Linked DNA regions of Nothobranchius furzeri. The protein of the gene in region 3 purifies or fractionates together with the protein of the main gene of each other region. This does not show direct contact. Links are inferred from orthologs where the notes say so. Each region holds a gene or a part of one and is shown on either strand. Other genes may lie near its edges. The genes, in order: rack1, pdgfrb and proto-oncogene tyrosine-protein kinase Src.

What was found.
Region 1: the proteins of proto-oncogene tyrosine-protein kinase Src (region 3) and rack1 purify together in Homo sapiens (affinity purification with western blotting; 4 studies listed by BioGRID, with this or other methods). This does not show direct contact. The link is inferred for Nothobranchius furzeri from reciprocal best matches to the Homo sapiens genes SRC and RACK1.
Region 2: the proteins of proto-oncogene tyrosine-protein kinase Src (region 3) and pdgfrb purify together in Homo sapiens (affinity purification with western blotting; 4 studies listed by BioGRID and IntAct, with this or other methods). This does not show direct contact. The link is inferred for Nothobranchius furzeri from reciprocal best matches to the Homo sapiens genes SRC and PDGFRB.

What each region holds. Positions count from the first base shown.
Region 1 is NC_091741.1:97,230,741-97,241,496, reverse strand, and holds rack1 (small ribosomal subunit protein RACK1), read left to right. Parts: upstream 1-6,199; 5' UTR 6,200-6,311; coding exon 6,312-6,420; intron 6,421-6,883; coding exon 6,884-7,055; intron 7,056-8,256; coding exon 8,257-8,404; intron 8,405-8,692; coding exon 8,693-8,788; intron 8,789-8,947; coding exon 8,948-9,058; intron 9,059-9,296; coding exon 9,297-9,437; intron 9,438-9,627; coding exon 9,628-9,738; intron 9,739-9,938; coding exon 9,939-10,004; 3' UTR 10,005-10,055; downstream 10,056-10,756. Other genes in the region: col23a1a (collagen alpha-1(XXIII) chain), read left to right, coding at 483-533. UniProt on the Homo sapiens protein: Scaffolding protein involved in the recruitment, assembly and/or regulation of a variety of signaling molecules. Interacts with a wide variety of proteins and plays a role in many cellular processes.
Region 2 is NC_091741.1:96,094,981-96,105,636, reverse strand, and holds part of pdgfrb (platelet-derived growth factor receptor beta), read left to right. Parts: intron 1-1,300; 5' UTR 1,301-1,326; coding exon 1,327-1,375; intron 1,376-2,749; coding exon 2,750-3,067; intron 3,068-3,144; coding exon 3,145-3,399; intron 3,400-3,732; coding exon 3,733-3,863; intron 3,864-4,244; coding exon 4,245-4,410; intron 4,411-6,430; coding exon 6,431-6,611; intron 6,612-7,335; coding exon 7,336-7,451; intron 7,452-7,593; coding exon 7,594-7,717; intron 7,718-7,799; coding exon 7,800-8,011; intron 8,012-8,444; coding exon 8,445-8,539; intron 8,540-8,631; coding exon 8,632-8,764; intron 8,765-9,822; coding exon 9,823-9,927; intron 9,928-10,174; coding exon 10,175-10,285; intron 10,286-10,656. UniProt on the Homo sapiens protein: Tyrosine-protein kinase that acts as a cell-surface receptor for homodimeric PDGFB and PDGFD and for heterodimers formed by PDGFA and PDGFB, and plays an essential role in the regulation of embryonic development, cell proliferation, survival, differentiation, chemotaxis and migration.
Region 3 is NC_091743.1:58,647,461-58,658,116, reverse strand, and holds part of proto-oncogene tyrosine-protein kinase Src, read right to left. Parts: intron 6,957-10,656; exon of another isoform or gene 6,863-6,956; intron 6,176-6,862; 5' UTR 6,168-6,175; coding exon 5,894-6,167; intron 1-5,893. UniProt on the Homo sapiens protein: Non-receptor protein tyrosine kinase which is activated following engagement of many different classes of cellular receptors including immune response receptors, integrins and other adhesion receptors, receptor protein tyrosine kinases, G protein-coupled receptors as well as cytokine receptors.

The DNA.
Region 1 (10,756 bases), on a different chromosome or scaffold from region 3:
GTGTGTGTGTGTGTGTGTGTGAGCTACTTGGAGACTAACCAGTCATCACTATTCTCTCTTTGCAGTGATGACTAACCAGCAGCATGGAGACTGTACATATTGATATGGTATATTTTGCAAGTGAATACACACCAGCAACATCCCCTTTTATAAAGTCCTATTTTATAATATATTGAGAATGTAAGGACATTTTTCGGAGCCGACTCTTTTTTTAACTCACAATTTGGTGTTGTGAATGCAGCCGTGAACTGGCAGTGGGACTTTTGGGTTTGAAGGACAGTCCAGGCGGACGTGCTGGGGTTAGAAGAGTGCCTCACTAACAAACTTGTTGTAACCACGGCTGGGAGACGTGTGATGTGTGTGCACTCAGCCGCTCTCAGCGATGGATGGATGGTTGGACGAATGGACTTCTGTTGGTTTGTTTTGAACAGCTGGAGGTGTGTGTTGTCAGTGCTCTCTTGTCCTCTGTTTTCTATAAAAAGGAGGAAATGGCGAGGCAGAAGCTCAAACGCAAGCGTCTCTCTCAGCCTTGAGAAGGGGGTGGAGCCTGTCGGAGGAAGAGGACAGCACAGGACTGGAAATGGGAAACCTTAAAGAGCATACTGGCTTTTTTTCTGAAACAGAGCTTGCTATCTTGATGCCTCTGCGTCACACTCAGATCGTCTGTTGTGGAATCGGTCCAGGAGGGGGCGACAGAGCTCCACACACACCTCAGAGGGGAGGCGGGATCTGTTGCTGATGATGTTGCTCTTACAGATTTGAGTTATTTGGGAGTCTCTGGCACATAAGGAAGGAGTTTGCCGTGGAGATATGTTGGACGTGTCACAATGATGTTTTGTATGACTTTATTAATGCATGATCATCCCCGTGTTGTTTAGCATGCAGATTGTGTGACTCTCACCACAATGAACAAAACAAAACATATTGCTTTATTCTTTTCCATTTTTCTCCAGTTCCAGTTTGCATTCCTGAAATTTTCCTTAAATATAAGCAGACGATGAATGTTAAAGGGCAGGTCTGAAGGAACCATTTGCAGTATTACTGATCAATCATTGTAGCCTTGAGAAATAATCACCCTCATCTGATGCATTTTGACTGATTATTTAGTGTTTTAACATCAAAGGAAGGTGTGTTTGATCTCTGCTTCCAGCCTGTTTTGGACAACAGTAGAACTTGTTGCTGCTGACTTCAATTTGTTTTGAAACTAACATGAAATTTGATTGAAACGTGTGTTTTTATGAGTTCATAATTCATTTTCACTAAGCAGCGTGCCTTAAACTTGTCATTTGCTTTGCATTTTATACAAACCTTTGTAACTGCTCTCAGAAAAGTCTTTGCCTTTGTTTTTTTACCTGGGTGTTGCAACACATTTCTCTCGGATGGAAAATCTGTTGGTGCTTCTTTAATTTCAAAGCTATTTTATGAAACCACTTAGAAAAGGCACGCACAGATGCAGAATTTTATATAAAAATCTGCAACAAGTGCACTTTCTGGTTGGTACTGATAAACGTTTATGTCAGGATCCACAGGGATATTGATGGAAGATTAGGTAGATTTTTAAATAAAGGCCCTGCTGCTTTCCTTATTCAGTGTTACTCTGATGGAGCCTCATGGATTTGCTTCAGTCATGCTGCAGATTTCTAATTTCTGCTGTTTTATTGGATTCTATGTTTTTTATTATTTCATCTTGCTAAATAATTTCTGTATCAGTCTTGTTTTAATTTAAGTTTATTGAGGATTTGTTTATTAGAAAAGAGTGTTTCAGATATTAAGCTGAAATCAACAAATTCAAAAACGTACACGATGGGTGAAACATTTTATTTGAACACTTGTGTATAACTGAAGACGATTTAAAGATCAAGTTTTGCTGTATTTCAGTGTCAGACGGTAGTTATCTGTTGCATATCTTCATATGTGTTTATTTCTTTTACAGATTCTATCAGCTCCTTTTTAAAATGTTGGTTTATTGAAGTACGTTCATGGCACAGTGTCTGATTGGAGTTTCACATTGTAACAGATCTTAATACAACAGTATTAGCTAAACTTTGTGTGAATGTTTTTACTTTTGGTTGTGTTCATTGGTTGTAAAAGATTTAAGCTATTTTTGTAATTACTTGTCCAAATATAAATATATATGTGAAATAAGTAAAACAAAAAATCTGGTCCGTAAACATGCAGACAAAAATAAACTTTAAAGTGTTATGGTTTCATTTTATCATGCTAATGTGTCTTTTCCTTTTTGGTCGTGAGGGCAGCTTGAGCAGAGTTCTGTCTGTGTAGGTTTATCTAATTCCATTATTTTGTTCTTTTCCAAACACAGTGATAGATATTTGTTATTTACCTTTTTACAGACAGGTTTAGGCTACATCTGTAGCCGTTTTCATCATTGGTGACGCTCTGAAGAAGGCTACAGATGTAGCCCAAACTTGTCACCAAGAAGGTAAATAACATTTCTAATACTCAGTGTTCAGAAAAGAACCAAAGATGGAATTGGCTGAGCTCTCACTTCGGCATAAGAAACCGCTACAATGCCCACATCACTTTAGATGCAACACCAATCCTATTGATCGCCCACTACATTTTCCCTCACTCATTAGGAGAAGGCATTCTACCCTTTTCTGACTCAAGACCATGGTCTATGATTTCCAGGTGGGATTCTCATTCCGGCTGCTTCAAACTCACCTGTGGCCGAGATCACGGTCTGATGAAGCCAACAGGAACACATTATCTATAAAATGCAGAGAACTGATCCTTGGGCCACCAAAACAGATCCCCTCAACACCTTGGCTGTGCCTAGAAATCCAGTCCATAGATGTTAGGAGCAGAATCTGTGACAAAGGGTAGCCTTTGGACAGAGTCCAACTCATGGGAATGAGCCCAACTTACTGCAGAGTCCGATAAATTTTAGTGGCTGGGCTGCAAAGTGAAACAGCAGTCCACGGGGGGCGCTCATTACTGGCCTCCATCCAGGCACGAATGGATGCAATATCTGCATCAACATCCTGGGCCTGGCTCAAGTCCCCCATGGTCCAACCATGAAACAAAGGAACACATGTACCTTCTCAGTCTGCTTTACAACACGTGAATCAGTGGGAATGTTCTGATGTATTGTGTCTGTATGTGTGGAAGTGTTTTGGTCTAGACTCTAGAATATTTGTGTTGGGTGTAGGGGTGCTTTGACTTACCCCCACTGGACAGACTGTTGTGTCAGCCCGCCGGTCGCTCTTCCACCCCCACTGGACTCAGCAACAGAAATCTCCCATCAGAATCCAAGCTGCACTGGAATGCCAAATGTGTAGATGGGTTCGGAAGTTTGCATAGGCTAGACAGGTGGCATGGTCTTCTGGAAAGACTATCAGCATTTGTGTGCACCCGACCCGGGTGATGAACGATCTCAAAGTCATATTTGGCAAGCTTCTCAAGCCAACGAGCTAACTGTCCTTCGGGCTCTTTCATCTCTGTAAGCCAATGCAGGCTTCCATGGTCTGTGCACACCTTAACCCTGTGGAGGCAGGCGTTGCTGATTTGCAATGTTAAAACCTACCTACCTGATGCTCCACATACATATTTCATGAGCATTTTTTAACTTAGAAGTACCCCTGAAGGACTTAGTTGTTCGTCCTTTTATCAAAACTTATTTTGAGCCTGAGAGGGTTAAAGGGCTGCCCCAGGAGATACTGGCGGAAATGGGAAGTGAAATCCACAATGGCCAGCAATTGACTAGTAATTAAAATTGCGCCCACATTTTCTAAGTTAACACACATCTCTTTTAACAATGGTAGTTTTTGCATCTTTACAGTTCCCCTGCTTCAGAAGTTGAGGGCTTCCAGGAGCTCCCTCTAGCTCACCCATATTTCGAATGTTGCGTATAGCACAAGTTTGTCACGTGAGTTGCTGAATCCTAGCAGACAGTTGCCTTTCAAAATAAAATAGTTCCCGGATCTTGTTCCAGCAAGATCTGGCTCAAATTAAGCCCTGTCTACAAGTCTACAAAACACGTAGATTGGTTGGATGAACTCCTGTGCACCCTCTATGACCCTGCTAAGGGTATAGAGCTGGTCTAGTGTTCCACAGACCAGGAGAATATCACATTTTCCTCCTAAATCTGATTGATTATCCAGGGGACCTTTGTCTCTGGATCCTTTGAAGAGACTTTGCCTGCTAAGCTCAGGAGTGTTTTCCCCCTGTGGTTGGAGCACACCATCCAGTACCTCTTTATAAATAGGGGGATCATCACCCCAGTCTGTCAATCCAGTGGAACTGCCCCCAGTATCCACAATATTTACTGTGCCGCATCAACCAACACAGTCCCACAACATCCAGCGCCTTGAGGAACTCCAGGCGAATCTCACCCACCACTGGAGCCCTACCACTAAGGAGTCTCTTAACCACTTTGGTTGCCTCAGCACTAGAGACTTGATAGCCCAAACCCCCAGAATTCACTTCCTAAATGGAAGATGTGCCAGTGGAATTGAGGAGGTATTTAAAGTACTCTTTCCACTGACTCACAACATCCCAAGTGGAGGTCAGCAGTACACCATCCCCACCATAAACAGTGTTGGTGGTGCAGCTGTGTCACCCTCCTGAGACATCAAATGGTGGACCAGAATCTTCTCAAAGTATGAAACTCCTCCATGGCCTCATCAAACTCCTTCCAGCAGGTATTTTCTTCCTCCACCACCTGAACCACACTTCACTTGGTATCTGGTGCCTCAGACCAAAAGACTCAACAGGCACATACTACTCTGTGGCCGTAGCTCTAGTCAGCTGTTTCAACTTTTATTTTAGTAAAATAAAGCAAATGACTAAAGAAGTTTGAAAATGACATGTTTTAGAAAGTAAAACGTCATCTGCTAGGATGATCAAGTCTTACAGTGAGAGGAGGCTTACCATACAATTTTTTTCTAAGCACACAACACTGTTACCAATATTCTCACTTCAGCCTAATGTAACAGTGTTGAAATAGTGTAGCTGTGCAGTAGTTTACATATAGAAATATCAGATTATTCATAAAACATACCAGTAGAAAGCCTGGAAATTGAAGGATTCCAAATGTTGTTCAACATGTGAGATAAAACATTAATTATTTTGTAGCGTGGCATCATTGTCTTGTCTGTAATTGGCCTTTTTTTATTAGGTTATATGTTTTTATGGTTGTTTTATATTGTCTTATTTGTACTTGTTGCCTGCTGTATTGTCCAGCACCTTGGGTGTTTGATGAGATTGTGGAAGGGACATTACAATCTTCTGTGCATTCATTCTGGGTCTTTTTAACTTGTATTTTTTTTTTGGTTCTCTTTTAAACACAGGAAAGAAAAGTTTTCTTCTCTGTGTTTAAAAAAGAACCAATAAATAAATAAATAAATAAATACAAGAGACTTTACAAATAAAGTGAAATGAAATGAAAATTCAAATTTTAAAGATTGTTTGTTAATCAGTACACAAGTATAGAGCAGGCATGTATGTGGCCCTCATTTGTCGCCCTTGGAGCAATTTATGTCACTGTCGTCCCCCCCCCCCCCCCCCCCAACATTGTATGTTCAAACTTAATAGTCCATTTTGACAAATTTTAGGGAGTACAAATGCAAGAATAAATATTTTTAGCATTTAAAAAATGTATATGTTGTGGCCTACAAGGACAGTTAACTTGCTGATTTTGGCTCTTATCTAGGAAAGTTTGGACATCCCTGGTATAAAATATATCAAGGCGTCAACTTTAAAGCCGCCTTTCACATGAAAAGAAACAAATATTATGGGATTAAAGCTCGTGTGTGTGTGTGTGTGTGTGTGTGTGTGTGTGTGTGTGTGTGTGTGTGTGTGTGTGTGTGTGTGTGTGTGTGTGTGTGTGTAACATAAAGTATAAAAAATACGGACGTTTGTAAAATATAGAATATTCTAAAATCAGAAAATTTGTGTCCATCACAGACATTTTATTTTACTGGTGCTATGTTTCGTAAGAGCTTAATTTCCTTTATTCATTCAGACAGAAACATATCAGGGATGTGCACAGCTGTTACCAATAACCAAATCAGTGTGTATTACTTATATATAATGGTGATGTGTTGTAAGTGAAATGTTTTATCATGTTTCTAAACAGTCCCCTTCAGTCTTTTCTTGTAGCACACTTGGATGACTTGGGGAAAAAAACATATCCCAGAATGCTCTGCGAGCCCTTCACCCCTCTTAGTTTTTGCATCCGGGTCTGTACTTCCTTTTCCTCCGTGCCTAGATGCGATGAGGACCTAGGTTTTTACGAACCTGAGAAATATCCGAATCCATCCTTGTAAAAGGCACCACCGAACCTCGTCAAAATGACCGAGCAGATGACAGTGAGGGGGACCCTGAAGGGCCACAGTGGATGGGTCACCCAGATCGCCACTACCCCTCAGTATCCCGACATGATTCTGTCGGCGTCCCGAGGTGAGGCTTCCCCCGCCGGCAGCCGCCAACATGGCTACAGCTAGCTTTGTAAGCTAGCAGTGACTCTTTGGTAATGTTACAAAAATACGATTTTTGCGGAAGTGGCAGAAGACCGCTGAAATGTGATTACAACAGCCTAAAGGCTCATTAATCGCTTATAGTGAACATTTGCGACTTCAGAAGTGGAGGAAACCTGGTGTAGTTAAACTTGTGCTTTCTAGCGTCATTAGCTGGATCTACTGTGTTTCACTCCTGGGTTTACACCAACATAGCACCGACACTGATTCATCCAGTTAAACATCAGACTACTTGACATGAGGTTATAAGGCCTTGAACCAAGCGCTGCAATGTGATATTAACTTGATATTAACTTAAGTGCTAGCTTCGCATGCTAATGCTACCTACCTGCTCTTTGCTTTAGGCAATACTCCTGAGTCCTGAACCTTATGTGTTAAACTTTCAGACAAGTCCATCATCATGTGGAAGCTGACTCGTGACGAGACCAACTATGGGATCCCTCAGCGCTCTCTGAGGGGCCACTCTCACTTTGTAAGTGATGTTGTCATCTCCTCGGATGGACAGTTTGCTCTCTCAGGCGCCTGGGACGGCTCCCTCCGACTGTGGGACCTCACCACGTAAGTACAGCTAGGAAGAAAGCTTCTACATCAGATCCGCTGTCCTGTAAATATATCTCTTTACCCGTTTACCTGCTCCCAACATATTTAAATGTGTGAGAGCATCTAGAGAAGTCAACTTAGGAAGGTTGTGATGAAATCAGTTAATCTGGGTCCTTTAGAGCAGGAAACGTGTGGAACTTGCAGGATGGTACCCCTCAAGGAAAAAAGTTGCTGACCCTTGATCTGCATCATCTAAGCATCTATGTGGAACACAGTTTAAACTAGTTAATGCTTTTCTTTTTAGAAATAAGTAAGTTGGTAAAGACTTGCATGTTTGTATTAGCTGGAAGTATGTCCTTTCTAAATTTAAGTTGTAACAAACATCCTGGATAGTTTTAAAGATATGATTTGTCACCTTTGTTCTATAAATGAAAATGTGTTTGAACCGATGTTAACACACAGTCCGCGCTAATGCGTATTTGTTACTAGAGCTACAAACATTTCAGCACTTATGACCTCTAAATACCAAGTTGCCAGGGAACATAACTTAAGCCATAAAACAGTTGGGAAATGACATCTAGTTAAGCTACACCATGTGTAAACCCAATCTTGGTGAACAAACTTCATTTGCGTGTACATGACCGTGCAACAGCTTTTTATACTAGTGTTTTGTACCACAGATAGAACTTCAGTAATCTCGCACTAAATAATAAACAGCAGACATTTAAAAATGCAGTTATATACAATTACAATGTTTGTCAGAGATCCTATAAAATAAATTCTCCCAGTTTCTTGTACCCGACACTGTTGTTCCACAGTGTTATTGTCCTTACTACACCTTCATCACTTTATACACTCCTTAGTTGTGACTTAAGAGAACAGTAGATCTAAATAAATGGGTTTGGGGTTTATACAGGAATAAAACTACAGTCCATGTTTGAACAGTTTTAATCATCTAAGTGAGGAGCTGGAATTTGATTCTGGCTAAAGTGCTGGAACCCGATATAAACTGAACCTAAAAAAAATTGTCATTGATCGGCATTAAGGTTTGTGTACTAAAGTGATTTGTTTGAATACAAGTGGGGAAAAAAACTGTTTTAACTCCTTAAATGACTGTAGCTTGTAGAGGCCATAATTAGTAGAGGAGGGCAGGCATTTTAAACTGTAAACTTAATATAGCTTTATTCTAATCGGACGTCTTAATCTTGTGTTTTTCTAGTGGCACCACCACCCGTCAGTTTGTTGGACACACAAAGGATGTTTTGAGTGTGGCTTTCTCTGCTGATAACCGTCAGATTGTATCTGGCTCCCGAGACAAGACCATCAAGCTGTGGAACACTCTTGGAGTCTGCAAGTACACCATTCAGGTGAGCTGTCACTTAATGCTGCTGCTGCTGCTGCTTAGAGCTGTTCCTTCTTTGGTTTTCATTTAGTTTTTGTTCAAGCTTTTTTTTTTTTTTTTAACTAGTTTTACATTTTCTGAGGTAGAGCACACAGCTCAGCCATCAGCTGGAGCATTGTGGACTAAATCTGTATGATGGTTTTAAGTGTGTAGTGTGTCAGGATCATGGAATAAGTCTCGGTGGTTACATGAGCTAAAGTGAGCCATTGTTGGGATGAGCTGAACTTTAAACTGTTCAAACTTGATTTTGCAGGATGAAGGCCATTCTGAGTGGGTGTCTTGTGTTCGCTTCTCCCCCAACAGCAGCAACCCCATCATTGTCTCCTGTGGCTGGGACAAGGTGGTCAAGGTATGGTTTACTAGTAATTTGCTAATGTTTGGTCCTGGTTAGATGGTTTAACTTAGTTTGCATTTATTAGCTGACTACTTGCGTAAGACAACCTTTTTTATGATTAGCTTCCATGTTGGATGTTGATGTTTGTTCTGTCTCGGGTGTGATGCCTCTCAGGTGTGGAACCTGGCCAACTGCAAGCTGAAGACCAACCACATTGGTCACACTGGCTATTTGAACACAGTGACCGTCTCCCCTGATGGCTCTCTGTGTGCATCTGGTGGAAAGGTAACATCTGCTTCCAGTAATTGTAGATTTCTGTAAAATGTTCTTTTTTAGAATCTTTAAGTGAACGGACAAGTTTTTGCAATGATGGAAAATTAATCATACATCTGTTTTAAAATGATGACAATAGAGGCTGTTTCTGAGCACGACTTGAACTTGTCACGATCCCCGTTTGTGGGGTTGGGTATCGTGTTAAGAGCTGCGATGTAATCACTGAAGAATGTTTTCTGTTGGTGTTCAGGATGGCCAGGCCATGCTGTGGGACCTGAATGAAGGCAAGCACCTGTACACCCTGGATAGTGGTGACACCATCAACGCCCTTTGTTTCAGCCCCAACCGTTATTGGCTCTGTGCCGCCACCGGCCCCAGCATCAAGATCTGGGTAAGATGTTAAGCTAAACATGTTATCAAGGAGGACTGTGATGAAATTTAAAATGTTAGCTGTATTGTTTGATGATATCAGAGGCTGTTTCTGAGCTCCGACCCAATAGAGAATGTCAATAAATTCAGGTATGTTACTTATTACCTTGGTTAGAGATACCATCACTCTGGTTCTCTTTTACCTCATTCAGGATCTGGAGGGCAAGATCATTGTGGATGAACTGAAACAGGAAGTGATCAGCACGAACAGCAAGGCAGAACCGCCACAGTGTACTTCCCTGGCGTGGTCTGCTGATGGACAGGTACGACACTCTCTGGAGGACCTTTAAATGCAGATTTCTGTTGTGACCCCTGTGATTATACCCATTCACTTTTAACTCTGATTAATTCTGCTGACAGTCCTGCAAATATGAGGGGCACCAGAGAACCACTCACATGATTGAGCCTTTTTGAAAAGCGTGCTATTATGGATGCTAACTTCTGTTCCTCTTTTACTCAACAGACCTTGTTTGCTGGCTACACTGACAACCTGATCAGAGTGTGGCAGGTCACCATTGGAACACGATAAGAACAGCCTTGCTAATGCAGCTTTGAATAAAGAGACTCTTTGAAAATAAAATGTTTTGATCTTGTATTTAATTTTGACTGTTAAATTGTTTTTTATCAAAAGGGAACATCGATCACATCGATTTAAAAAAATCTGCTGAAACAATGATCAACAGTAACGTGAAAAAATGATTGAAAAATTAGGGAAAACTAAGTTTCTGTATTTATTTATTTTACTTATTTTGCCTTTATTTAACCAGGTTGGTCCCATTGAGATACAAGATCTCTTTTGCAAGGGAGACCTGGCCAAGACGGACAGAGCAGCAGCACAAGTTACAAAATTAATACATTCACATTTAAATACATTTCCACATAAACTCAATTAAAACAAACACACTGATGGTCTGGATTCCAGTGACCTAATCAGTCAAATCCACTCAAGGAAACCAAATCCTTGATTTTTAGATCTTTTTGTAGTGAATTCCATGTTGATGGAGCAGCAAAGCTAAAAGCCGACTTTCCCAGCTCTGCGAACCTTAGGAACAACAAATTGCAAAAGTTCACTTGAGCGGAGATTGAACTGATTCTGCTGTGAGGATGGAAACATCCCTATCAGCTTGGACCAGTTTTTATTAAGTGAAATGGGATTTAAAGTCTGAAACATTTCTATTTTTTAACACTGTTCAAATAACTGCTTGTACATTAAATCTTGGCTGCTAATCTGAAATGGAATACAGAATTAAAATTACACAAAAAAAAAACCATGGGACAACC
Region 2 (10,656 bases), on a different chromosome or scaffold from region 3:
TCAGCAGTCAGATCTGGGTTAAGATGCTGACCACATTTAAAACTGTCTGATTTATTACATAAATGCACTAAAATAGTCCTGAATCCTAAAATAGAAGTATGAGGTAAGAAAAAACGTGAAACGTTAAATTGGGAAATATTTCTCGAGAAACATTTCACAATTTATTTTCCACTGGCTCACGCTCTTCCTCCTCCACCCGCGCTCTTCTCAAGACTCACTCTTCCACCCTCTTTCTTTCCCACCCACTTGTGTACAGGCCTGTGATCCATCCTTAACTGTTTCCAGACGTCTGCATGTTTCAGGCCGAACCCCCCCCCCCCCCCCCCTCCAAATATAACAACAAACCCCTCCTCTTCCATCTCCTCTGGCCTCTGCACCACCATGAAGTTAGTAGTTAAAGTCAGAGATGAGATGGTGACGAACTCCACTGAATCAGGTCCTCTTAGCTTTTGTATTTGCATCAGCGCACATGAGAAGTCTTGCAAAACCCATGGCAACCTTTCAGAATTGCCCTCCTGTCAGAGTGAATGCCTTAGTTTTCACTTTTTGTTTACCCCAAAAGCCAATTAATGGCTCAGCGTGGCCGGAGAATAGCTTGGACGCAGCATTGTTGCCAGTGAGCGTGCTGTAAAGCTGCACACAGTGACCCGTTTGTTAGTGGGCAGAGTGGTGGTGAACCAGCAACACAAAGACGTGGGACATTGTTGCTGTGTCCCGGTGCAGCGAGGCATCAAATACCACCAGAGCTCAGCTGCATCTGCGCTGAGACAGAAAGCGAGCAGCTTTCTTTGGCAAATGATTTGTGATCTTAACAAAATGTCTCTTGAACCACTGGATGGATTTTAGTGAAACTATCAGAAAGTATTTGCTGATCATCCATCTACTGCTGAGAGAGGCCACCAGCGCAGCTGCACAACCATGGCTCATGCAAAAATGGCTACAACTCCATCAGCTTTGTAGTTACAGGTGTGAACTTGGTGTGGAAGTAGCTGAGAGTCATTCATAATAGACACCGACTGTGTGAGATGTAGCATGAGATTACATGTAGGATTGTTTTCAAGCTTTTACCAATTATCAATTATACCTCCTTCAAGAAACACCAGGTCTGTCATTTAGGGTGTTTTGTTTTATTTTCAGTGGGCAAAAATATGTTTCTTCTTTTGTTTTGCTCACTTTGACTGACATCTGTTACCAGTTTTGACTTAATGTCACACGACCTGCGTTTTAGCAATCATTTACAGCGTGAGGGTCAGTAATTTACCAAAATGACTCGTGGGATTTCTCTGATTTCTGTTTGCAGAACAAGGTGGTCATCAGGCAGCCACAATGAGGAGGGTGACAGCATCCGTGCTCCAGCGGACAGTTACATTCACAGGTGAGGGTTACAATCCAATCTAGCAACAAGTGAAAATGAGGGGTTTGTCTTGCAGGAGAGCAAGACCTGTTTTCAGTACTTTTAAGGCAAATTAATGCAGTTAAAGGGGACATATTATTACCTTTTTCATAAATTTTAAATAGTTCTGTGGTCAATAAAAATAAGTTTATTGAGTTTTTTTGCATAAAATCCCTCTCACATAAAGCTAACTCAGCTGTTTATTCTTGACGTTTTCAGAACCTTCCAGAATGAGCCGTTTCAGGGCGCTTTCACTTTATTTCGTAGGGGCAGCAGTAGCTCAGGAGGAAGAGCGGGTTGTCCATTAATTGGAAGGTAGCAGGTTCGATTCCGACTCTCACCAGAGATTGCTGCCGTTGTGTCCTTGGCGAAGAAGCTTAACCCGCCTTGTGTGCTGGTGGTGGTCAGAGAATAGATGGCGCCTGTGTTCGGCAGGCCTCGCCCTTGTCAGTGGTCCTCAGGGCAGCTGTGGCTACATCGTAGCTCATCCCCACCAGCGTGTGAATGGGTGTATAGCTACGTTTACGTGCTCCAAGTTTCCCCAATCCGATTCAAATCTAGGTTGATCGGAAATCTCAAATCTCTGTTCATATGGACACTAACTGAAATTATCCGATCATGCCGTGAGTATACTTACACCAAGCATTCATTCAGATTAAATAGGTTGAGCGTGTGTAGAGTTGTCTTTCCCGGAAAAAAAAACATGTAACCGCACATCTTCTCCCTCATATTTTATTTTCTTATTCTCTTTGAGCGTTGTTCGTTAACTTACGTTCCACTACTTTTGCTATTTCTGATTTCACACACAGAGACTTTTTGAAACAGCTTGATTTAGCACATAGTTGCTAAAACCAAACACTGAGAAAATGGATGAACGGGCTATTTCTACGTTTGGAGTGTTTATAGAGGTGACAGAGACCCACATGGCAGCACAAAAGTTGCATAATATGTCCCCTTTAATGTTTATTCTCAAATTAAACAGACAGTGAAACAATACATACATTTTAATCACATATTTTATAATCACAGATTATTTCCTTTAATTAATGGAAAAGTATTTAAAGTGTAATTTGATGAGCTGAATTTTGACCTCAGCACATAGACTGTAGATCAGCTGTGAGAAAACAAACGCTTTGATGTGAAGGATAAATGACGCATTCTGAATGATTTTTAATCCATCTGTCACTGAATAGCCGTCCTCATCCTCCTACTCATCTGCTCCAGACAGCTTGTATCCATCACCGGGTGGAGATAGACCAGGATCTGACTTACACTGTTGACTTGACCTCTGAACTCGTTGCACCATGTATTTGAGCCCCTCCATGCTGACCTCCTATTTTGTTGCGTAAACTGCAGCTTTGGTGCTTTTCTGCGCTGAAGTTAGCAGCCTGGAGATCAAACCTGATGGCAAAGCGTTCGTCCTGAATCGAGGCTCCACTCTCAGCCTAACCTGCTCCGGATCCAGGGAGGCAACCTGGGCGTTTAAGACAGACGATCTGAGTCAGCGTCTAAGAGAGGGAGATGAATACGGACGACAGATTTACAAAATTGCGCAGAAAAATCTGACGTCCAGTGTTCTGACTCTGCGGAGTGTGAGCTGGAGGCACACTGGTGTGTACCAGTGCACTGATGTGATCACAGGGGAAACCAAAGAGGCGGTTGTGTTTGTCCCTGGTGAGTTCTGCTTGTAATATCTTAATATTCCTAAATGCTTTCTGACAGCTAATGAGCAAACTCACGTCTCGCTGCAGATCCTGAGGTGTGGTTCATCAGTCACCACGGCGCGGTAGCAAAGACCAGTGAGGAAAGCACCATCCCCTGTGTGGTCACCAACCCAAACATCACCGTCACGCTCCACCAACAGGACAGCGGCCGGCCAATCAGAGGCCTGTATGTTCCTGGAGAGGGGTTCAAGGTGGCGCTTGAGGACAGGATGTACGTGTGTCGGGGAGAACTGAACGGGGAACTGAGAGAGTCTCAGAATTTTAACGTCTTCAGCATTACTGGTAAGTTTCCAGGTCAGACAGTTCAGATTTATTCAGTCTGAGCCCAAAAACCCAAAAGAAATAACTCATAAGAGAAGAAACGGCAAGATTTAGTACCAGAGTTATTTCCTTTGTGACAATCGCTATTTATTATGTTGTAGTACTTTTAAAGAGATTGAACCAAAGAGGTCAAAGGTCAAATGTAGCTCTGACTTGTTAGATTCAAATGTTGTTTTTAACGTTTGCTTTTGTGCAATTAGCTGATTAATGATGACTGAGGTCAGCTTGTTGCCCCTGTGATTTGTTAAATCCATGCTCTCCCCTCCTCTCCGTCACCCTCGTCTCTCCTTCCAGTCCCCAAGACCATCGACCCCTACATCAACGCCACAAAGACGGTGCTGAAGCAGGGCGAAGCGCTGACTATAAACTGCACAGTGCACGGAGTGGAGCTGGCAGATTTTTCATGGGATTTTCCCAACAGGGAGGTGAGTGGGAGCGGAGCAGAACAAGAGCTTTTGTTTCAGCTTTCTCCTTGTGTTGTTGTTTTTGTGATCCCTGTGCGGCCTCCTGACCAAACCCAAAGTGCATCAAGATGTGAAGACACACCTCGATCCTGCTGTGTAAATGCTTTCACAACATCAGGAGTGGAGAGTGACCTGTTTCTTCCGATGTCTGTTATAGGGGAACCTTGTGTTTTTTATTCACTGTTGAAATCATCTGTTAAAAGGCAAATTAAACAATTAAACTTTATTGCTAACGCAGGATTCAAACAAAGATTGCACCTAAAACTATTTTACAGATTAAAAATGACCCCACAAAGCTAACTTGTGTAAATTTGATCCTTCTGGTTTCCCTCTCTCCTTTAGCTCATGGAGGTTGAGCCTCAGATGGAGTACCTGCCCATCGCCATCATGCGCTCCTGGCTCCTCTTCCCTCAAGTCACCGTAGCTCATAGCGGCACGTACGAATGCCACGTCATTGAAAGTGTTGTAGGACACACAGCTTCTGCCAGCATCCACATCACCGTGCTCGGTTAGACACACACACACACACACACGCGCGCACACACACACACACACACACACACAAACACACACAGCTAAAACAAACTGATTCTCTGAAGATTATTATTGGGTTTGGCTGACCGACTCTTATGTTAACACTGGGATATTAAAGCAGGAGAAGGGCTGTTTAGAGGAAATGAAAACCCGTTTAATTTGTTTCTGCGGATTATGTCAAATAAACTTCGGCCCCAGCGTGAAACCCCCGAGTGATTACCTTGAAGCTCACACCTGCAAATCAGAGGGAGCAGCAGCTCTATATTTAGACTTTAGGTGAGGATGTGTTTGTGTTTCTGGGAATTTTCTTTAAACAGAAACTCATATAAATTTACAACACAGGACTTGGAGCCAATAAAAACAGGATTCCTCTGACTGAACTTGTTTTTTCTCGTGCTACGTCCACCCCTGCATGCACGTTGGGGGTGTGTTTGCTTACTCCATCTGCAGCGAGGTGTGTTATGTTTTAAAAGACCTTTAAATAACTCAAACCTCCATGTTGGATGGAAACAGGAGACCAGGGTTGTTGTTAGTTTTGTCTAATAGACAGGTCTGCCACCCAACGCGGAGGCCAGATGAGTTTGATTAATGTCAAACTTTGCATATATAAAAGCATTACACACATATTAAATGTTTTTATTAGGCATATCACATCCCGCTCGTTAAGAGAAGATTGTGGGAATAATTTTGGTCAGACTCAACAAAAAATTCTCCACTGTTTTCTTCTCACAACATTTCTGGCCAGAAGAAGTGAACAGAACCTGAGAGGATAAACACTTTCCTGGGGGCTTGGGGAATGCGGCACCTTAGCCCATCTCCTGCACACGCCTGTACACGGTGGCTCTGGATGTTTCTACTCCAGACTCAGTCCACTGCTTCCGCAGGTCCCCTAAGGTCTGGAATCGGTCCTTCTCCACAATCTTCCTCAGGGTCCGGACGGTCACCTCTTCGTGTTGTGCAGCGTTTTCTGCCACACTTTTTCCTTCCCACTGAGGTGCCTTGATACAGCACTCTGGGAACAGCCGATTCATTCAGAAAGTTCTTTCTGTGTCTTACCCTCTTGCTTGAGGGTGTCAATGATGGCCTTCTGGACAGCATTCAGGTCGGCAGTCTTACCCATGATTGCGGTTTTGAGTAATGAACCAGGCTGGGAGTTTTTAAAAGCCTCAGGAATCTTTTGCAGGTGTTTAGAGTTAATTAGTTGATTCAGATGATTAGGTTAATAGCTCGTTTAGAGAACCTTTTCATGATGTGCTAATTTTTTGAGATGGGAATTTTGGGTTTTCATGAGCTGTATGCTAAAATCATCAATATTAGAAACAATAAAAGGCTTGGACTACTTCAGTTGTGTGTAGTGAATCTAATATATATGAAAGTCTAATGTTTATCAGTACATTACAGAAAATAACGAACTTTATCACAATATGCTAATTTTTTTGAGAAGGGCCTGTGCATGCACAAAAAATACCACAACTCTAAAGGAAAGCTTATCCTGCAACTCAATATAAATATTCTGATTATCTGATTGTTGCTGATGTCAGCTAAGATATCACTCAGATAAATAAATCAACATCTTTTTCTAATTTTATTTAAAATACATTAAAATTAACTATTTGTAGGTTGTCGTGTTGTTATGCCAACTTTAAGCTCACTGGCAGGTTTAGAATTACAGTTACTGGATGAAATAAGAAAGAAAACATACTGCAAATAACAAAAGTTTCATAAAACATTTATATAAAACCAGCAAATGTAGATGATTTTGTGACTATGGAACATATTTCAGAGCTGAAACAGAAGAAATGCCCTCACTAAAGCACATTCCCAGTTTGCTAAATGTTTTAATTTAAACACAGATGCACTACACGTGAGCAGTGGTTCATTCCTGCAGACGTGCACTGTTTGCATGTTTCTGACTAGAATAGAAAAACAGACATGCAAGAAATACTTAAAAGATTAAATAGAAAATGCTTTACAAAGGCTTGTTTTCTTCTCAGAACACGGTTTTGTGGACATGAAGCCCATGCAGCATCAGAGGATCTCAGCCAAGCTCCAGGAGAACGTGGAGCTGAGGGTGGACATCGAGGCCTACCCTCCTCCTCAGATTCTCTGGACCAAAGACGGCACCGCCATCAAGGGAGACACAGCCATCCTCTCCAGACAAGAGCATGAAATAAGGTGGAACAGCTCATCTAAATGCCTCCTTATATTTAAAGAATTATCAAAAACTTTGGACAGTCCAGGAGCCTCCAGAGGCGATCTGTCCGTCACCACCAGATGAGACCTCCACAGAGAGAAATCCAATCCTCTCCAGAGGGAAGGAAGCCATCTTTCAGCGCACAGGAACCATAAACACTAAATACCTATCACAACTCCCTAATGACCCTCAAACGCTCAACAAAGCCTGGGCTCTTGCCTTTTCAACCAAAACGATCGAATTAAATGGGATTTTAAAAGTTCATTGTTGAAAAGCCTCGAATCAATCAGTAAATCAGAAAAGTTCCTGTCCAACAGTTCTGCTTTTGGCTGAAATCGTCAGAAGATCATGTTTGATTATTGAGACGTGTTTGTCCTATTAATGGTGTTTTTCTTCTTTCTTTTTTCTTTTATTTTTTCTTTTATTTTTTCTAATTTTTACAAATTATTCATGTAGGTTAATCATTCATGTTAGAAATGATTGGAAAACAACATACCATATTTCAAATTTTTATCTAAACATTCCCATAAGAGACGTTTTTCCGTAGTCCCTGAGAGCCTCTCTGATGGAGGTTCTAACAAAACGTTGAACCTGTGGACATTTAGCTCCAGACAGAAGTTAATCTAATCAAACCCAAGAAACTCCTGAAAGATCGATGATTGTTTTTATTTTCCTGACAGCTTGTTCATTTGGCTTTTGCCTCAGGTATCTCACCATTCTCACCTTGGTGAGGGTGAGGGCGGAGCAGAAAGGCCTCTACGCTGTCCTCGTTACCAACGGAGACGACACGAAGCAGGTTGTCTTTGACTTGGAGGTCCAAGGTGTGAAAAAGTTCTCACAAACTCTAGAATGTTTAAATATTTGACACATTTTTGTTGTTTTTTTTCTCCACAAACATGTTTTTAAAGTAGCGTTTGAAGGCAAACTCAGTCATGATTAAAGCCTCCGCCTCCATGTTTGCAGTTCCAGCTCAGATTAAAGACCTGACAGACCACCACCTCCCAGGGCAGGGACACTTAGTGACCTGTGTAGCAGAGGGGTTTCCAGCTCCCATCATACAGTGGTACAGCTGTGACAGCATGCTGAAGTGAGTCACACACCCCCTGAGAACACAAGAGGGCTCCACTGCTGCTGCAGCTGTTCCCATCTCACCCGGTGTCCCGCTTCAGGTGCAACAACCAGTCTGCTGTGTGGCAGCCGCTGACCCCGCGACCGGAGGAGCTGAGCATCCAGACCAACGCCAGCTACAATGAGACTCATAAAATCATCCAGGTGCGCAGCAAGATGGTCTTCCTCAAGCCTCAGCACTTCACCGTTCGCTGTGAGACCACCAACCGAGCCGGACTGGTCAGCAGGAGGGATGTCAAACTGGTGTCCAGCAGTAAGTGCCACAAGATGTCAGACCTTTTATGTGTCATTTACACTTAGATAAGGAACACCTGAAGATTAGGAAATGCATTTTTATAATACGTTTATACATGTGTTTCTAAGCTGAATATTCAGCCCCTGGTGGCATTTTTAATTGACTCTTTGATGTTGGGCTAAAACTTTCCATCTTCAGATACGTTTTTGTCAGTAAAATCTGTCTATGTACAATATATATAAAGGCTATCATGTTTGTACCACAGATATCAGATCAGCTACGTTTTAAAGAAAATGTGTAATCTTGTGTTTACATTTGGTTAATAGTTTTTGACCCCCTTAATTGGTTAATTCTCCGTAAACCACAGACAGACGGATGCAGAGCTGACTGATGCACAAACATAAAGTTTTTCAAATGTAGTGATCTTTTCTGTCTCTGGTGTCTGTGGCAGCCTTGTTCTCCCAGGTGGCAGTGTTGGCTGCTGTTTTAGCCTTAGTGGTAATCATTATCTTGTCCATCATCATCCTCGTCGCCGTGTGGAGGAAGGTAAGACACTCCTCATCACATAAAAACAAACAGATCAAAATTATTCCTTCTTCCTCATGGCTCCTTGTTGTCCTCTTCACCCGTGCTAACAGAAACCACGCTATGAGATCCGATGGAAGGTGATTGAGTCCGTGAGTGTGGACGGACATGAGTACATCTACGTGGATCCCATCCACCTGCCCTACGACCTGGCCTGGGAGATGCCCAGAGACAACCTGGTCCTGGGTGAGTGTGATGTACCAGGAGTTGGAAAGACCTGTTTGTGTTTATTTTAATGTTAAGAAAACAGAAAATAAACAAATCACAAAGGCACAAAGTTAAAGAAAATGTTTAGTTGTTTTTTTTTTACATTTTAACCAAAAATAATGCTTAAACTTTATTTCCTACATGTGAAAAACTGATTCACGCCATTTTTAATTAAAAATAACTTTGTTTTAAATGATAATAGAAAGATACGATCTTTGAAAATGTTATAAAAACAGGATCTGTTTTTGCAAATGAACTCTTCATTTTTATAAAGTGGAAGGAAAATGACCATCCTCTGAATTCTTGTTGCTTTTACCCAGCTTCCACACTTGTTACAGCTGTGGTTTATTTAAAGAAAAGGCCTATTGATGCTGACTAATCTGATCATAGCTATGGCAGTTACAGGATATTTATGACCCATGATCAGCAGAAATAATCTCTTCTTAGAAGCTGCCTTTTTTATTTTTTTTATTATTCAATACAAAATGACCTTACAATTATTATTATTATTATTATTATTATTATTATTATTATTATTATTATTATTATTATTATTATTATTATTATTATTATTATTATTATACCGCAGTGTGCTCTACCATGTTATTGGGTAAAGGGTCGATGGTTCCTATAATCGATCAGTTGTGGTTTATTTCTGAGTGTCTGACTCTGAGCAGGCTCTTATCCGTCACCCAGATGAGGACAAACTGTTTAAACTGGATCCATCCCCATGAGGCTTTTGTACTGCGAGTGGTTGGTTGTCTGCACACGGAATCCCTAATGAATACTTTTTAAACTGGACTCAGTCCCAGTTTAGCTAAAAGCTCCTTTTCATGCGTTTTGTTATTTTCTCTCATACAAACTGTCTCGAAGCTCTTGACATATTTATTTTCTGAATCTGCCAAAGCAAGTTTTTATATTAGTGTCCTTCAAAATAATAAGTCGAATCCCTCTCACTTATGTTCTAATGGGGAGAAGTGTTTGCTTCTTTCTCAGATTTCACACCGTGTCCCACTGAGGCCCTCTTTGTGTTTCAGGTCGAACTCTTGGATCAGGAGCTTTTGGCAGGGTGGTCGAGGCTACTGCATACGGTCTCACACATTCCCAGTCCAGCACAAAGGTGGCTGTGAAAATGCTGAAATGTAAGAAACACAATGTACAATAAAAGCTTCACATGCAAGATATCAGGCAACAGCAGCCTCCTGCACGCTCTCTGACACTGTCTCCCAGCAGCAGCCTGCTGAGCTTCAGCTGGTCTGACAGCCTGATTCAAGTTTCTTTTGACGTTTTCTGGCAGGAACACCGTTTTTCTCCTGCTCGCTGTACTCGTGTTGCTGTTCTCACATCACGTTCAGGTTAACACGTGTTCTTTCCTCTGCCCTCGTCCAGCTACAGCCAGGAGGAGTGAGACTCAGGCTCTGATGTCAGAGCTGAAGATCATGAGTCACCTCGGTCCTCACCTCAACATCGTCAACCTGCTGGGGGCGTGCACCAAACACGGTGGGCATCACACGAAGCTTTCCCACCAACACACACACACACACACACACACACACACACACACACACACACACACACACACACACACACACACACACACACACACGTGGTTCACGTAAAAATATATATTAAAAATTACAGCAAAGATTACTCTGTAGCAATTATTTCTGCATTTTCCTGTTTGTTCAGTAGGTTGAAATGATAAATATTTCTGTTACATTTGGATGAAAAATCCACTAAATTTGATTGATAACTGGTTAAAGATGACTTTTCCGGCACATTTTCTTCTCATCTGATTAAACCGCATTGATCGTATTTGCACTAAGTGAATAATTGTGTAAACAAGAAAGTTATGATTTCTTGTAAGAAAT
Region 3 (10,656 bases):
GGTATAATCTTCCTTCCAACATGATTGAGACATTAGACTGTTTTATGATTAATACACTGTAGAGTTCTTACAAGTTGCACCTTTAATTAAAAAGTTACAAAGTAAAATTCAATAAAACAATCAGTCTTCCACATCATTAAAGGAGGAATACTGGCCTAAAGAGGTAAACCTCAGTTAGCTGAAGTCTCCTCACTCTTTGTAGGCATGCCTCTCTTTATGTCCTACCACAGCATTTCAATTAGGCTGAGATCTAGACTTTGACCCATTAGAACCCCTTGATCCTTCGCTTCAACAGCCCCTCTGTTGTAAATGTGTCCCAGTGTTTAGGGTGATTGTCCCAGTGAATGTATGAGTCTAAGCCAAGATCCTGCTGTAGGACAAACGGCCTTACATTCGACTCTTGAAATTCTTTGGTGAACAAGAGTTCATGCTGATAATGACTCTAGGAAGCCCAGATGCTGAACAGCAAGTCTCCTTCATCATCTGCCCTTCACAGTACTAACAGTGGATATGGGGTATTTGTGCTGATCTGCAAAACTTCATTTTGAACAAAAATCTCCACTTTGATATCTTCAGAAATATTTGCACATTTCTGATTTTTATACTGATGTTGCTTTACCACTCAAAAGATGTAAGCTGTGCTACCATTCTCTTATTTTTTAAAGATAAGATGCTTTATCCTGGCTGCCCCTCCAAACAAGAAGCTTTTGTTTAGTCTTTTTCCAACCACACTTAACTGATTTCAAACTAAAGCCGGGCGTACGCTGTGAAACTTTTTCCACTCGTAGGATTCAGCTCTACCTCAAACCGTACAACGTTCTAGCAGAGCAAACTTCACGAGTCATGTTCTCACACTGTATGACCCAATGCTCAGATGTGACCTGACTGCTCACACTGAACATGTGGTAGAAGCACTTTGGTCCTGAAAATGTGCTAAAAAATACTGGTTTTTACACAACATGTTGGGAGTTAGTTACTTTGAGTCCGAAAACCCGGAAACTACATGTGCGTTAGTCTGATATCTTTCAGGCTTGTCACAGGACACACAAAGGTTTATGGGGTTGGAGAAGGAAGATTAAAGAAAGGAAATAAACTTTGTTTTGGGATCTGTTTTATTTGACATAAACATGGAAAACATGTTTTCTTGAGACTCCTTGCCATTGTGGGTGGAGACAAGTGTAAGATAAAAGGAAACTACGTGTGTTGACACAAAAATGCCTGTGGAGCCGGGTTGGCGCATGCGCTGTGTGAGCAGTTCTGGTTTTTCTGGGTCTCAGTGCTGCTTCAACAGTGCAATACCCTCTTAAAGGAAGAGCAAAATATCAAACATGTTTGATATTCATGTGACTGCACGGTTGCTGATCAGGAGCTGGTCATGAGGTGCTACTCGCCTCTCATAACCCCCTGTATACTTCACAATGCAAAACTCACCCCAATCTTAAAGATTCTCGCAGGAGAGGAAAATTGGCTCTATACGGTAAAAAAATTGCCTTGTATGTCTGAGATGTGTAAATTCTAGGAAACTCAGCTGAGCATGTGGATGGAAGAGGAGGACAAATTCATAATGTTGCAGAAGCTTGAAGGCGGGAAAGTAATAGAGTGACACAGTGATTGAAAGGGAGCCATAGAGCTTCTGTGGGACAAGTGTGATATGATTGAAGAAGGGGGTTCTGGAAATGCTTCAGGACAGCCAAGTTTTGAGTTTGTGGCTGGACTTGTCAGGTGGACCAAAAAGAAGGGAGATACAATAATCAAGATGCAATGTAATCAGAGTATGGATCAGTAAAGCAATGGGTATAGGACAGGTAGTACAAGTATGGAGGACAGGTACAGTGCTCAGCATAAATGAGTACACCCCACTACATTTGTCAGACAACCTTTAGTTTCCTTTCAGAATCAACATTTTTTATGAGATACCATATACAATTTCTTCTCTAAAAATTTGCATATTGTGATAAAGTTAATTATTTTCTGTAATGTACTGCTAAACATTAGACTTTCATATATATTAGATTCATTACACAACTGAAGTAGTTTGAGCCCTTTATTGTTTTTAATATTGATGATTTTGGCATACAGCTCATGAAAACCCCAAATTCCTGTCTCAAAAAATTAGCATATTTTATCCAACTGATAAAAGAAGTGTTTTAATACAAAAAAATTCAACCTTCAAATAATTATGTTCAGTTATGCACTCAATACTTGGTTGGGAATCCTTTTGCAGAAATGACTGCTTCAATGCCGCGTGGCATGGAGACAATCAGCCTGTGGCACTGCTGAGGCGTTATGGAGGCCCAGGATGCTTCGATAGCGGCCCTCAAGCTCATCCAGAGTGTTGGGTCTTGCGTCTCTCAACTTCCTCTTCACAATATCCCACAGATTCTCTATGGGGTCCAGGTCAGGAGAGTTGGCAGGCCAATTGAGCACAGTAATACTATGGTCAGTAAACCATTTACCAGTGGTTTTGGCACTGTGAGCAGGTGCCAGGTCATGCTGAAAAATGAAATCTTCATCTCCATAAAGCTTTTCAGCAGATGGAAGCATGAAGTGCTCCAAAATCTCCTGATAGCTAGCTGCATTGACCCTGCCCTTGATAAAATACAGTGGACCAACACTAGCAGCTGACATGGCACCCCAGACCATCACTGGCTGTGGGTACTTGACACTGGACTTCAGGCATTTTGGCATTTCCCTCTGCCCAGTCTTCCTCCAGACTCTGGCACCTTGATTTCCGAATGACATGCAAAATTTGCTTTCATCCGAAAAAGGTACTTTGGACCACTGAGCAACAGTCCAGTGCTGCTTCTCTGTAGCCCAGGTCAGGCGCTTCTGCCGCTGTTTCTGGTTCAAAAGTGGCTTGACCTGGGGAATGCGGCACCTGTAGCCCATTTCCTGCACACACCTGTACACGGTGGCTCTGGATGTTTTACTCCAGACTCAGTACACTGCATCTGCAGGTCCCCCAAGGTCTGGAATCGGTCCTTCTTCACAGTCTTCCTAATGGTCCGGTCACCTCTTCTCATTATGCAGCGTTTTCTGCCACACTTTTTCCTTCCCACAGACTTCCCTCTGAGGTGCCTTGATACAGCACTCTGGGAACAGCCTATTCGTTCAGAAATTTCTTTTTGTGTCTTACCCTCTTGCTTGAGGGTGTCAATGATGGCCTTCTGGACAGCAGTCAGGTCGGCAGTCTTACCCATGATTGCGGTTTTGAGGAATGAACCAGGCTGGGAGTTTTTAAAAGCCTCAGGAAACTTTTGCAGGTGTTTAGAGTTAATTAGTTGTTTCAGAGGATTAGGTTAATAGCTCGTTTAGAGAACCTTTTCATGATATGCTAATTTTTTTAGATAGGAATTTTGGGTTTTCGTGAGCTGTATGCCAAAATCATCAATATTAGAAACAATAAAAGGCTTGAACTACTTCAGTTGTATGTAATGAATCTAATATATATGAAAGTCTAATGTTTATCAGTACATTACAGAAAATAATGAACTTTATCACAATATGCTAATTTTTTTTAAAGGACCTGTAGCACTCCCGCAAATGTGGGCCATTGATTGCAAATAAGATTTGTCCATTTCCACACACAAAAAAGGGATTTTGCTAACAAATCCATTCCAGCCCATGTTGCAAAAATGAGTACACCCCAATTATAGTCTTAGGAAAAAAGCCACACTTAAGACTACAAAATTCTAATGAACAGGCATTCAACCACAGGTGAGTCTAATGATTCATTTAAGAGGTGTCCAGCAGACAGGTGACTATCTAAATGCATTACCTAGCAAAGAAAAGCTGTTCCCATTTCATACTGTCAGCAATGGCGCCACATGGAAGAGAAATAACAAAATCTGAGAAAGAAATCATTTCTTTACACAAAAAAGGTGAAGGCTACAAGAAGATCAGCAAAGCTTTACATATCAATCAAAATACTGTAGCAAAATGATCCAAAGTTTAAGAAAGATGGAAGAGCAACCATCTTACAGAGACGTCCAGGCCATCTATACAAGTTAACACTTCGACAGGAGCATCTTCTGATAAGAAGGGTTGAAGAAAATCGCCATGCAAGTTCACTACAGTTAGCTATAGCAGACCGTTTCCTGTGACACCATACGGCGCACACTGCAGAGGAATGGCATGCATGGGTATTGTCCACGAAGGAAGCTCCTCCTAAAGCCCATGCACAAAAAAACACTCCAAGTATTTGCTAGGGCCCATGCTGAAAAAGATTGACTACTGGGACTCCAGACTCTGGAGTGATGAGACAAAGATCAGTTTTTGGAACTAATGGTTTCAAAACTGTGTGCTGTTGTAAAGGTGAGGATTTCAAAGAGAAATGCATGGTGCCTACAGTGAAACACGGTGGTGGCAGTGTCCTTATGTGGGGCTGCATGAGTGCTGCTGGTGTTGGGGTGCTGGTATCATGAACTCAACAATGTACTACTCTATTCTGAAGGAGAAGATGCTGCAATCACTTTTCCAACACTAGCCTAGTGAACTAGACCAAATTCTTGCTTTGCAAAGAATGGTCTAGACACGCTCCATTGGAACCTCAGCAGCTCCTACCAGGACTCTGGCTGGCCAATCACAGCTCTCTAGAGGGGTTTCAAACACATAAAGAGCTGTGATTGGTCCATAATGGTGGGCCAATCATAGTGCTCTATCTGCTTAGTGAACAAATCACAGAGCTTTATCCGCTTTGTGGGCCAATCAGGGCACTCTATATGCCTGGTGGGTGGGATGATGCCACAGAGTGAAACAAGAGTATGTCACATTCATTGTCCAGTGGAATGCGGAGATCATTTGAAAGACAACGGTAGAACCCGCCCCACAACCGAGAGCCGTCAACGGAGCATGGCCAGACTAAATAATACATTTATTTAGTCTGGCTTGCCAGGCTATTCCAACACGACAATGAACCAAAACACACATCTAAAGCTACTGTTGCATTTCTGAAGAAGAACAGGGTGAAGGTGCTTGAATGGCCAAGTATGTCTCCTGATCTGAACCCAATCAAACACCTGTGGAGAATTCTGAAGCAGCAAGTTGAGCCTCAATCTCCATCCAGCATCCAGGCTCTAAACGAGGTTATTCTTGAAGAATAGAAAACGACAGATGTTGCAATATGTCGCCAACTTGTTCATTCCATGCCTAGAAGACTTGGTACTGTCCTTGAAAATCATGGTGGTGTTACAAAATACTAGATGTAGTAGATTTTGTTGGGGGTGTATTCACTTTTTGCTTCAACCAATTTTAGTAAAAGTTTGTGTGATCTATGTTATATTATAAAGCTTCATTTAATTTTAAGGAGTTAGACAAGTGTTCAATAAATCCCAGCCAAAATTCTGGAAATGGTTCTTTTGTTCATTAAGCAACTAATTAAATTCATACTTTTTAAAAGGGGGTGTACTCATTTATGCTGAGCACTGTAGATCTGAGTGTCCTCTATGCTACATCTATGTTGGTATTGAATGTCATCTTTATGGAAAATATTGTCAATTTAAGGAAGAGGTAGATGATAAACAGGAGAGATCCAAGTACAGAGGCAGGGGGAACACCAGAATTAAGGGGAGGATGGTTGAGGTGTAAAGCTTTAATCTGAACCAAAAATAATTTAATTTATGCCTGTCTGCCTGTATCTGTCCTGTCTATATATGTGTGTGTAACCTTGGTCAGGTTGTACTATGGAGTCAAGTTCCTATGCTCTGATCTGATCTGAGCGCTGGCAATAAAATTCATTCTGATTCTGATTATATCTGAAATGTATTTTTAACTAAATCTAGATCATTTTTTACAGAAGAATTCTGTATGTTTTAATTTAACCATTTATTAGGTCTATATTCAGCTTTCTAAACCTCTTTGTTTTACAAAAACCTGCCACAATCTAATTTCCTACCTGACAGCAGTCCTCTGTAGGGTGATATGACACTTCCCGTGTGGTCCACTCCTCCAAAGAGAGACAGTTCAGGGGTATTTGTCGGGGCAAGCTGGCGCTGCCCTTGTTGTCCCCGACGGCCCGTCCCAACAGCAGGGCTTCGATTGGGGGTCTGGGTCTGCTGAGTGGAGTCCAAGTGGTGGAAGCGTCCGCTATCGGAGCCGGTGCCTATGGTCCCGTCCAGGCTCATGGAGCGCTGGCCTGGCTCCTTGGGCTTGCTTTTGCCCGCCCCCATGTGCAGACCTGGAACAAGAGCCAACCATCAGAAAGGATACGGTAAGACCAAAAGCTGCTACAAAAAGTAAAAGCGTCAAAAATCAATTTTTATGCAAATGAAGGGTCTCTCAGCTTTGTTATGCATTTTTCTTTCATTTTAAATGTGTTTTTTTTATAAGAAACACATTTTTTTGTGTTTCATCATGTAATGAAACACAAAAACATTCAGTAAAACTGGATTTCACTGTGGTTAAAATTATTAGTCTTCTTTAAAGCAAAGAAATATGGTTTTAAAGGATTTTCCTCAGGAACTTTTAACATATTTACCCCCCCCCCCCCCCCCCCCCAAAAGTTGGCAAATCAGTCAACACATTTATTCCAGCTCTCCCGATCCACCAGAATATCCCTGGAGCTGTTCCCAGGTCAGTTAGAACTGCTTGCGTTTACAGTAGACACAAACCACACACACAATCAGAATCCAAGGTCGTGCTTAACGGTTTAAATCAAGTTGGAATCAATAAGCATCAACGAGGTAAACAAAGCTGTAAACAGAAAGCAGCCATGGGTCTCAACGACGCAAAGTATTAATGCTGGTGAGCCGACAAGGGCACAGAGGTGTCAAATATATCTGTTACATCCCGATAAACGCAGCGAGTCGAGGGTGTGCTGTCAGTAAGCACAAAGACAAACAAGCTCACAGTCAAGAGCACCCACAGAAAGTTGGAGAGCCTTGTTCGCACACCGGTTCTGTTCCTCCCCTTCAGGCTCTGTGGAGTGACTCACTGGGAGACCAGCTATTTCAGGCCAGCTGAAACAAGACAGTCATACACACATGAAACACAGTCTTGTTCCTCTGAATTAAAGCACTCTCGATTCCAGACAAGAGCGCGCCAAAGTGCATAGGGGTGGGTGTGTGTGTTCATGTGCATTAGCAGCTGTTCCCTCGCATCTAGGAAACTAGGCTCAGCTGCACACTAGCACCCAAGTACAGTTGTGTCTCACATCCTTTTTTCCTTTCCAACACTTGATAGTTTCCAACACACACCGACAGACAGACAGACAGGACAGGACAGGGGAGGTTATTAACAGACACGGAGGAAGGAAACTGGCTGTGGCTTTAAAAAGAACGTGTGGGTGGTTGTTATGTACTGCCCGGACAGCTGAGGCTTAGTGGGTGTTTAAAGTGTGATGTGTGAGCATAACATAATTACACAGGTATGGGAATTCTCAGAGACATGGCAGCATCCCACTGAGAAGACATGTGGGCGACTCAGCTTCTGAGGGAGCGTGAATGTGCACAAATGTCAACGTGGGGGTGGGGGTCAGGGGTCAGCTTTCGCATTAGGCATTAAGAACTAAGTCAACACTATTAAGAACTAAGTCAACACTGGTTTAAAACTTACCAGAGGCACACGTGCCACACCTAGACTGCCAATACAAGCAAATAGGTAGGATGCTCATGCATATCAGGAATGTATGCAAAAATCCTCTTAAAGGTCATTTCAGGCTGTGTATGAGCGCAGGGCTAGATAATAGCACCTCATACAGAGAGCTAAGAAAGTAGGAAAAATACTATGATTTAGACTGATTACTATGTTGCTTCATCAGTATGCGTCTGCACTGTCAGTGGGTGGTGCCTACCTAAAGTGAGCTCACTTTAAAGGGCCTAAACACAAAAAACATGAAAGGATCAAGAACAGACGAGAAATTCTCAGCAGATACAGATGTTGCAACATCTAGTGGGACATGAGAAGCAACAACAAGTTCTTCCAAGGCTGTAAATAACCTCTGATGACAAAAGAACATGTTTGCTTTTACATCCATGTTCACCTGAAAGCCTGCGTGCAAATGAGCTCCTAAACATGACACATGAGTCACCGTTTACTCAAGCATGACAACCACTCAGATTGATCTGGAAACAGGCAAGGATACATTCCTGAAATGTTTTTTCCCAGTATGCATCAAAGCCAAACTGGATGATCTAGATGAGGGGTGGAACAGCAGCAGGGTGAGAGCTCAAGCTAGCTTGGGCTCGAAACAGACACATTAAACTGACCCAGGGGTCTCTAACCAGCGGCTCTGGAGCCACAAGTGGCTCTCTGGACCTTCCATAATGGTTCTTAATAACTATGACTACAAATGAGAGAAATACAACTGACCCATGTTCATAAAAACAATTTTAAAAAATGCAGATTTAAGTTGTTTTCAGTTTTTTTTATGGAATTGAAGTTCCACAGCAACAGCACTAAAAATACCAGAAGTATTTTTATATCTGTGTTTTATTTGTTTCATTTCCAACAAATCTCAACATGCCATGAAAAAAAAATATCCAAACTCCTTTTGCAAAAGTGTTTGTTTCAAGAAATGATCTCTAGAGTAGACACTAGCAGAAGAGAAACAAAGATCTCAGACTTTATTCTCAGAAAAACCTCAGAATCCTGACTTCTGAACTATTATGTTTGTTGATCACTTTGTCTTAGAGCTTGAATAAGATAAGCAGAAAAATTAAAAGGCTGCATTGATGCTGGACACGTTGTGAATTTTGGTTCATTTTTTTTCTCTTAGCTTTACAACCATGGTGCTCCTAACTATGGATGGAGGGAAACAAAAAAAAAGGGAGTAAAACCATCTACATAAATATATGGACAATGGGTTTCCATAGGCTTCAATAACAAGTTTTTCTGCTAAAATGGGAGGTAGCCACCACCGCCATTTTGACTGTGTCAAAGGTTCCGTCAAGCCCAGACAATTCCATAAAAGGGAAGAGAGGAGGAGCTGAGGGTGACGTTTAGACAGATGTTTGTGCAACTTAAGAAAGACAAAAGAAGCTACTGCTCATCTGTACTCCGTTTGGAGACAGACTTCCAGTTTGTAAACAGCAGCATTAGAAGCCCTAGGCTACGACTTCTGTTGAGTGCCGATTTGGTACATTTGTTTTTGTTTTGCCGCTGCGATCTGAGATGCGCAGAGCTGCCGCTGGGGAGAACCGGGTGCAAAGGTTACCATCTCAGAGCTCCACAAGCCGGCAGCCCGCGCAGCAGACAGAAGCCGCGATCAGACAGAGATGTGCCGAGCTGCGGGGAGAAGTGGCGTATTTTGGCGGTTCTGGCTTGCCATAAGAACCAGCCGTCAGCCCGCGCAGCTAACAGAAGCCGCGATCAGACAGAGATGGACCGGGCTGTGGGGAAGGGATAAGGGTGGAAAACATCGGTCTCCCAAGAGCTCCACAAGCCGATAGTCGGAACCCAGCTCCACCAACATGTTATATTTCAACCCATTTTCTAAAGTGCAGCATTATGTTAAATGCACTGGGTTTTACCCTATTACATTTAAATTTCATGGTTAAACAGTACATGTTAAAATCTAAGCTCAACTCGGCAGTGACCCAAAATACATGAATATAATTTTACTTACCGAAAAAAATGAAGTGGAGACTCCTTGGACGCTCTTTTAGTGCAATTAATGCCACAGCAAGTCATTTTGTCCAACAATTGCACAAAAAATATCCAAAAAAGAATACACACACACAGAGACTCAAAATCCCGGAACAGTTTCCAAGCCAGACGGAGGCTCTACTGAGGCCTTTCCACGGAGCTAGCTCTATGGTCACGTGTGTCGGATGCTCAATTATACAGAATTTTAGGCTTTTAATACACTTAAACAGAAGAGTGAGAAAAAATTCACCCCCCTCATAGTTGTCATGAGTGTAAACTAGATAATTTAAACCAAAAACATGTTTTGGTACCAGGCTGTAAACATGTTTATTTCTGCTGTGAAAATGGTATTTTTAACATGGGAGTCAATGAGGATTTGCTTGTTTCTGACACCAGCCCCCAGCGGATGAGGGTGGAACTGCAATTTATTTCACTTCCGGGTTGGACTCAATTTCAGAGCTGCATTGTGGGGGCCTGAGTAAAACACAATTTAGGTAAAATTTGTAAAAAAAAACATCCCATTATTAGTGTTGTTTCATGGCTCGAGCAATCTGTTCGTCTTTGGAGAGAACTGATGGTTACAAACCAACTAGAATTTGGGAAAACACTGGAATATATCTTCTCCTTAAGCAACGAGGTGCAACAAGCTGAAATAAACAGATTCTGATTCACAAACCTAAGCAGGAAACTTTGATAATCACTATGTTCAAGCTGGTGATGAAGACTCTAGGACGATGACGATACAGCGTGCACTGGTTCAATTATTTACTCTGGTTCTTTCCCAGATGCTGCATTCATCTGAGATGAATGTTTCAGCACCAACATGTTTAGACAGACCTGAAAGCCTCACACCTTTTCCTAATATGGAGTCAGAGAGGTGTAATGCCAATGTGAGCTAACTCCAGCGTTTCGTTGTGAAATGAGTGATGATGGTGATGTTTTAGCACTGGAAAGAGTAAACACATGAGGTAAATAGTAACATAAAAGCACAGTCTTTTAAATGAGGTTTAAAGGTGTGTGACACTCATTTAAGCAATGCATTCGCAGTGGTCACTAGTAGGAATGAATGCCTTG